Linked DNA regions of Mus musculus. The protein of the gene in region 1 purifies or fractionates together with the protein of each later gene. This does not show direct contact. Links are inferred from orthologs where the notes say so. Each region holds a gene or a part of one and is shown on either strand. Other genes may lie near its edges.

Region 1 (3,562 bases):
CACAGCGCTTGGGAGGTAGAGGGAGGAAGATCAGGATTCAACTACATAGCAAGTTCAAGCCCAGTCTGAGCTACCCTGTCTCACAGGGGTGGAGTGAGGGGAGGCTGGAGGGATGGCCCACATCCTCCTCTCGGAAAGCTACACTCTTGTCTAGGCTTCAAAGGCTCCTGCATATGCACTGTACACATAAAACACACAGGTATACACATACACACATAAGTTAAACATTAATTAAAACATTATAGTCTGAGACATGTTCAGATTAATAATTCTTCCAGAATCCATCTCAATTGATAAGAAAGGGAATGAGCAACCATCTTGGGATCAAGAATGTGCTTGGGGTCAGTGAGCTGGCTCAGTGCAGAGATCACTCAGTGTTAAAGGCTAATGACAGGCATGACTCTGACACTTGGAATCCAAAAAATGTGGGAGGAGAGTTCTAGCTCCAATAAGATACCCTCTGACCTCTATCTATCTGGCCTAGCATGGCATGGCAGCCCCCTCACTCCCCTCCAAACACATATACACCTATTCAAAATTTAAGAACTGATTTGATAATAGTAGTATGAAGCTCCTTAGTGCATAATTTGTGCTTTAAGAGGAAAACATAGAGGCTTATTAATTGAGAAGATCTGTGTACACACGCATAAAATAAAAATCATACATATAGTGTGATTGTTTTGGAGTTTGGGGTTTTTTTTGTTTCTGTTTTTAAGCTCCATGAGTAATTATAGGCAAAGCCAACAACTCATCCTAAAATTTAAATTAATTAAGGTCAGCCTGGTCTACAGAGTGAGTTCCAGGACAGCCTGGGCTGCACAGAGAAACCCTGTCTCAAAAAAAACAAAAACCAAAAACCAAACCAAAACAAAAAAATTTAAAAAAACCAAAGTTTTCAGGGCTGGAGAGATGGCTCTGTGGTTAGGAACAGTGACTCTTTTTCCAGAGGTTCTGGGTTTAGTTCCCAGCCCCACTTGCTAACTGACCATTCACTGTCTGTAACACTAGTTCCAGGGGATCCTCCGCCCTCTTCTGGCCTCCATAGACATTGTACAGACACATGCAGGCAAGATGCCCATACACATAAAATAAAAATAAATAAATCTAAAAAAATATGTTAACAGGCTCAACATACACATTTTTTAATTTAATGAGCAATCCTGATGTATTTTGAGAGAGAGAGAGAGAGAGAGAGAGAGAGAGAGAGAGAAAGTCAACAGTTCTCCCCTTCCATCAAATGGGTTTTGGGGATCAAGCTATGGCGGTCAGGTTCACCAGAAAACACCCTTACCTGCTGAGCCGTCTCCCTAGTCCTCCACAATGCACTTTATTGTTAAGAATTTACTTACAGAGTTTGAATTTAGAATATGAAACATAAGAAAGGCCAGGCTGGGGTTGGCGAGATGGCTCAGCGGGTAAGAGCACTGACTGCTCTTCTGAAGGTCCTGAGTTCAAATCCCAGCAACCACATGGTGGCTCACAACCATCTGTAATGGGATCAGATGCCCTCTTCTGGTGTGTCTGAAGACAGCGACAGTGTACTTATTTACAATAATAAATACATTTTAAAAAAGAAAGAAAGAAAGAAAGAAAGAAAGAAAGAAAGAAAGAAAGAAAGAAAGAAAGAAAGAAAGAAAGAAAGAAAGAAAGGAAGGAAGGCAGGCCAGGCTGAGTAGATGGGCATCTTTTTCGAATTCGCGTGGGCGACAGCACATCTCTCCAGGGAAAGGCCTTGTTACTCTGTACCTGACTCCTCCTCCTCGGCCGCCTGCTCCATCTGCTCCTCTCTCATCTCGTCTTCTGCATCGAGTAAGCCTATAACGAGGTCACTGACGGTCCTGTAGTTCTCACCAGTGGCCAGGATCTGCCACTGAACCGTCTGTCTCACCAGGCTCCTACTGAAGCCCATTTCCAAGGCTGCTTTAACCACAGGCGTGCTCATCATGACGACATCTTCCGAACTTTCTCCAGGGCCAAAATGCACGACTATATGGACAGGGGATTTAACAGATATTAGCAGCGCCCATGCATCTTTTTGTTGTGGTTGTTCTTTTAGGAATCCTTCTAGGCCAGTCTAGCCTCAAGCTTATTATATATTCCAAGCTGATCTCAAATTCATGCCAATTCTCCTGCCTCAGAAAGTGCTAGGCACAAACCAACATATCTGGCTTCATATACTTTTTAAATAGAAAGTTATAGCAATATCAAACCCATTAAAAATAAAAAATAAATAGGTACTATACAATATGCATTTTGCTAACTTTAAAATGACATATATTCAGCCATTGAAGTAAGAATACAAAATACGATTGCCTTTAGATTCAAGTCTGTGATTAGTTCTACTCAAGAGGAGAGAGCAGAGAATGCCCAGGCATTCCACTAGAATCAGGGGCTTCATTCTCTATAATCAATAAACTAATGTGCTTTCTATAGCAAATATATACTTCTACATATTTGCTTCCTTTTGTTTGTATTTACTAGTTGTCTACAATGTTTTAATTGTATATTCATATTCACGCAGCACATACTTTGATATTTCTAGTTCTTTCCATTTCTTGCAAGTGGCATGGTTTCACGCTTTAATTTATGGTTGGGTAATTTTCTTTCATTCTTTTTGTTTGTTTGTGAGGGTCAAGGACTCAGCATATAGACAAGGATCTTGCCTCAGCCTGGCTACCCCAGTGTCCCAGAGTGCTACCCACCCCCTTTCCAGCTTACTTAACACTACAACCCAACCACTTAAAGTGCAAACCTGGTGTCATACTCCCCAAACTGAACGCCATAGCCTTCCATAAAAATCTCAAATCTAACTGTGGTTACATTCTGATCTAACTCTCTGCCTCACCTCTTGCTACTTCCAGGCCATAAGCAGCCTCAGGCACTTGCCCCTTGCACTCTGCACTGGAACTCAGGAACTGATAGCTTTTGATTCAGCAAGCTGGCCTCATAATTCCCTGTCTGCAGCTCCCTCTTCTGGCTAGACAAAATCTTTGCTCTGTTCTTTGAATGTCCCTATTCCATGTTGCTTAGCCTCTGATGTTGTCTTGCCCAGAATATGCTCTGCCCTGTCAGTTAACTGATTCCATTTGTTCTTGGGCTCTCTACTAAGATAAGTATTTCTTCCAGAGTGCCTTTTTTTTTTTTCAGTTTTTAGTTTGCTTTATTTTATGGGTCTTTCTTTCTCTCTTTCTTTCTTTCTTTCTTTCTTTCTTTCTTTCTTTCTTTCTTTCTTTCTTGAGAAGGAATGTGTGCACTATGGCACGTGGGTAGTCAGAGGACAACTTTCAAGAGTCAGCTTTCCCCTCGACCATGTGAGTCCAGGGGCTACAACCTGGGCTGAGTCATCTGCCAACCTTGGTTTGTTCTTTTAAGACAAGGTTTCAGTAGGTTATCCAGGCTGGCCACTCACTGTATAACCCCGGCTGGCTAGGAATGTATGACCCTGTGCCTTAACCCTCCAAGTACTTAGATTGCTGGCCCTGCCCCAGACAGATGCTGCCACATTTGGCCTCCTAGAAAGCCTTTTGTGTTCCCCAGATTTAGACAGTTGTCTCTTCACGTT
Region 2 (4,151 bases), on another chromosome or scaffold:
GATATGCATACTTTTCACCTTTAATGGCCTACATGTTTGAAGGAGGCAACCCCCAAACATTCTGTCCACCGCTGTGTGCTCTGCATTTCAGAGTGCAGTGCTTTGGATGGATGGAAACTTTATTATAATGTTTAAAGTTATCAGTTCATGGTTACTTTTCTTCAATCAAGAAATTGAGCTATTGTAAAAAACAGAATTTTGTCTTAGTTCTTTTTTTTAAAGATTATTTATATTATGTATGTGAGTACACTGTTGCTCTCTCTTCAGACACATCAGAAGAGGGCATTGGATCCTATTTCAGATGGTTGTGAGCCACCGTGTGGTTGCTGGGAATCGAACTCAGGACCTCTGTTAGAACAGTCAGCGCTCTTAACTGCTGAGCTATCTCTCTAGTTCCTTAGTCCTTAATTTAACTGTTAGTATTACATTATCAACTTCAGAGTATAAAGTTACCTCTATTTGTTAAAAGGAAACAAGTTCTAACAAGATGAGGGTGTGTTAAATAAACAGATGAAAACAGGAGCAGCGCTGAAGATGTACAGCCCTGGGGACCAGCAGTAGGCCTGTGCTCCCCACTAACATGGGAGGACATGGACCAAGACTCTCTATGGATGTGCAAAACCTCATGGTACCAACCCCATATCAAGCTTTCCACCATAAAAACTAATCTAATATCCAAGACAGCTCACTACTAAGAGGATATCAGGCAGGTAACACACACACTGGGGAAAAGGTGAGACTCGTGTCCCTGGCTAGATGCAGTGAGATGGCACAAGATTTTGTCACGGTACTTAGAAGAGTGCTCAATTTGTATCACTATAACCGTATCAAATTCCCATTAAATAATTAAATATTTTTGGACCATAGCTGACCCACAGGCAACAGAAGCCACAGAAAGCAAACCCTGAGACAGACAGACAGCCTCATGTAAACAACTTCCCACCATTTATCAAGACAGATAATACAGAAGGGACACCAAGCAGTTTTGGGGGAAGGATAATGAAAAGTTCAAGTTTTGAAAACATAAGAACATAGCAGGCAGTGGTGGCTCATGCCTTAATCCCAACACTTGGGAGGCAGAGGAAGGGAGTTGAGGCCAGCTAGTTCTACAGGTGAGTGCCAGGACAGTCAGAATTACAGAGAAACAAAACAACAGCCAAATGTATGAAATTATAGTTTGAGTTCTGGTAGACTTGGAAATAAAGTCCTGGAGTTGAGAAAAAAAGGAGATTCAAATAATGCGGATGAATGTTTAAGCTTGTCATAAGCAGTTTCAAAAATAATAGGGTGAATATCTAAGGAACACTATTTTTATAGACACCCTGACGCTTCTCTGTAGTCTCTCTAAGGTTATGGACATCTGACACAGGTCTAACGTGCAACTGTCAGGATGGATGACGTCAATGAACCCCGGAGCAGAAACAAAGGCCTGCAGCACTCTCCTCCCCTATCTACAGACAGGTCTTGTCTTGTTTTGCCAGCTATAAAATGAAAAGCAATTCTCTCCTTATAGGTACTTTAATGATTGTGAGAAAATTCAAAACTGTGGAACATGGGAACAGAGCTCCCAGACTTTACACTTAGGGTTTACTGTCCTCTTAAGGACTATAGTGGGTATCAAAGACCTTGTTTCAAGTAGAATGTGTAGCTTTCCATACAGCAGGTGCCCTACCAACTCCACTGAACACGGAAACTATGGCAGTTATCCTGGCCGTACCTTTCCCTCCTGGTACTTAGCTCTATCAGTTGTAATTATGGGCACAGCGCAATAAACTTTACAAGGGGTAAGTATGGTAGAAAAAGGGGTCTGAAGCACACATACATCTTCAACAACTTGAGGTTAAGTTCGTAAAGACGATTTTTCGGCAGCATTTTGGTGCTAAGTAAGAACGAGTTACCGGTTTTTAATGTGAATTCATGTATATTATCTAAGTTGTGCTCATTTGATTTTTTTTTTTTTTCTGGCAAAAGAAGTTAAAAGGAAGGAAAAAAAAAACGAAGCACGTTGTGGTTAAAGCCATTTCCTCAAATATTACTGTGTCTGTGAAGTTCTACATGGTCTAAGCAGAAGAGTCCAATTTAGTCGGGAGTATTTTCAACGTTTACCTGGGAACCAAGTCTCAGCGAGAAGTACGCACACCCCCTTCATTTAAATACGTGGGCGTCTGATTACTCGGGGAATTCCAGGGCGTGCGTTCAGCTGGCGAGCTTTCCGCAGCCCCCGATAGAGACCAGTTTCACCCATCTGCTCTACGCCCGGGGATGCCTGGTCCAAAGCCCGCTGTGGGCACACTCCGGCGGCTCCCTAGGCTAGCAGCTCCCGCGGCGGTGGCGTGGGATGGGGGATCGGCAGGATGGAAAGCCACCAGCGACGAGCGGATGGCAAGGAAACATCCAAGCCCACCGACAGGCTTAACCGCGGACTCCCGGGTCGCTGGTGGATCGTCTCCAGCCAGCTCCCGGGAAGCAGGCAGGTCGTGCTGTGCCAGGACCCCGCGCTCTTCCGACCTGAAGTTCCCCGTCGCTCAGCTCCGGGTTTCCGCTTTCCTCCGCCCGCCCGCCCCGCTGCGCCCCGCTGCGCCCAGCCCGGCGGAGCTACTCACGTCCTTCTTCACTTCAGTCAAATCCTCCTCCGTGAGGGACGGTGCGGGAGCCTCCATGGCCCAGGCCGGGATGGCGTCCTTCCGGCCCGCGCCACCCCGCCCAGACTAAGGGCTCGGGCCTCCGGGAATCAGGCTGTGACTTCGGGGGGACTAGGAACAGAAGCGGGGGAACGGCCGGCTCACGGACGAGGAGGTGGAGACCTCAACGCCCCACTTCCGGCTCCGCCCCTGGGGCCAGCGGTGCCGCGCTCAGCGTTCTTCCTAACTCAGGCACCACCCTTCGGCGAGGCGGGTCTGCCTGCAGGCCCCACCCACCTACGTGCCAGCCAATCAGTACTACCCTCGGTTACGTCTCTGCTTCCGCAGTGGCTCCGCCCACAGCGGGCGTCCCTCTAACCACGCCCCCTTGTCATTTACATAGGCTTGCGGATTGGACGCCTGAAGGATTTGTTTCCGTGGGCGGAGCACTGGCCGCTCAGTTTAGCGGGATCTCCCCGCCTTCGCAGACTCCTCGTTTGGGTGGAGTGTGGGCTGAGTCGGCCAGAGCATTTTGGTTTGCTTCTCTTTTCCAGATGTTGCGGAACAATTTCCTGTTGTGCTGAGCCAGGTTTTACAGTTGCGTGATCATACGTATATGTATACACGCACACATAACTTCCGTTTGAGGGCCTGCTCTGGGGGGCCACTGCCATTTACCACCTAGAACTAGGGAGACAGGAGCAAGGAGATCTTGAGAGCAGAAAACAAAACGACAAAACACAAAGAAAAAAAAAAAACTGTTAAAAGATTTAAAAATTACCTGCAATCCCATCAATTTAGCAGCACAGGTAGTGTTTGGGTACTTTTAAGTCTCTATTCATTAGAAGCATTTCTCCTTATTAATCTATGCAGTAGAGACAAATTTAAAAAGCTAGGGCCTCTAGGAGTATATTTAAGGTTCTGAAGCTACTTGGTACACAGTTACACTCTCTTATTGTTATCCTTTATCTCTGTTCAGTAAGTAAATTCTAGGGATGCTCTGATGGGGAAGTTGTTTATTGGAGGCCAAATGGCTATTTTCAGAACGATATTTTAACTCGTAGCCCGTGCAAAACGTGTCCTAGTGGATGAGGTGCTCCACATAGAGTCCTAGGCAGAAAATGATTATGTGGTCGATGAAGTAAATCTGCAAGTGTAGACTGAAATGTCAAGAGGACCAAAGGCAACAGGAATCTTTATCTAAAACAAAAGAACCAGTAGAGGCTTAAAGCCACATCTCTGTAGCTTTGATCAGAGTTCTGGAATCTTGGTGTTTACATTATGCCAGGTCTTTTTTTACGCTGATGTCTAGTATACTAGAGTGTTTTCCTGTGTCCTTAGTCATCCGTTGTCTTGTTATAACCCAATTTGCTTAATCATTTGCTCTTTCCTGTAGCAACCATCTGTTGAATGGCAACTACTGAACTACACCCAGATCTTCTTCTAGCAAATCAAACACCTCTGTCCTCCAGCTAGGGTGTGGTGGCACAAGCTAGCTAGCTGTGTTGGCCAACCAACTGCTTGCATCTG

Evidence for each region.
Region 2: the proteins of Birc3 (region 1) and Bcl10 purify together in Homo sapiens (affinity purification with western blotting; 5 studies listed by BioGRID and IntAct, with this or other methods). This does not show direct contact. The link is inferred for Mus musculus from reciprocal best matches to the Homo sapiens genes BIRC3 and BCL10.

The regions. Positions count from the first base shown.
Region 1 is NC_000075.6:7,852,621-7,856,182, forward strand, and holds part of Birc3 (baculoviral IAP repeat-containing protein 3), read right to left. Parts: intron 1,987-3,562; coding exon 1,747-1,986; intron 1-1,746. UniProt on the Homo sapiens protein: Multi-functional protein which regulates not only caspases and apoptosis, but also modulates inflammatory signaling and immunity, mitogenic kinase signaling and cell proliferation, as well as cell invasion and metastasis.
Region 2 is NC_000069.6:145,922,968-145,927,118, reverse strand, and holds the start of Bcl10 (B-cell lymphoma/leukemia 10), read right to left. Parts: upstream 2,858-4,151; 5' UTR 2,661-2,857; coding exon 2,604-2,660; intron 1-2,603. UniProt on the Homo sapiens protein: Plays a key role in both adaptive and innate immune signaling by bridging CARD domain-containing proteins to immune activation.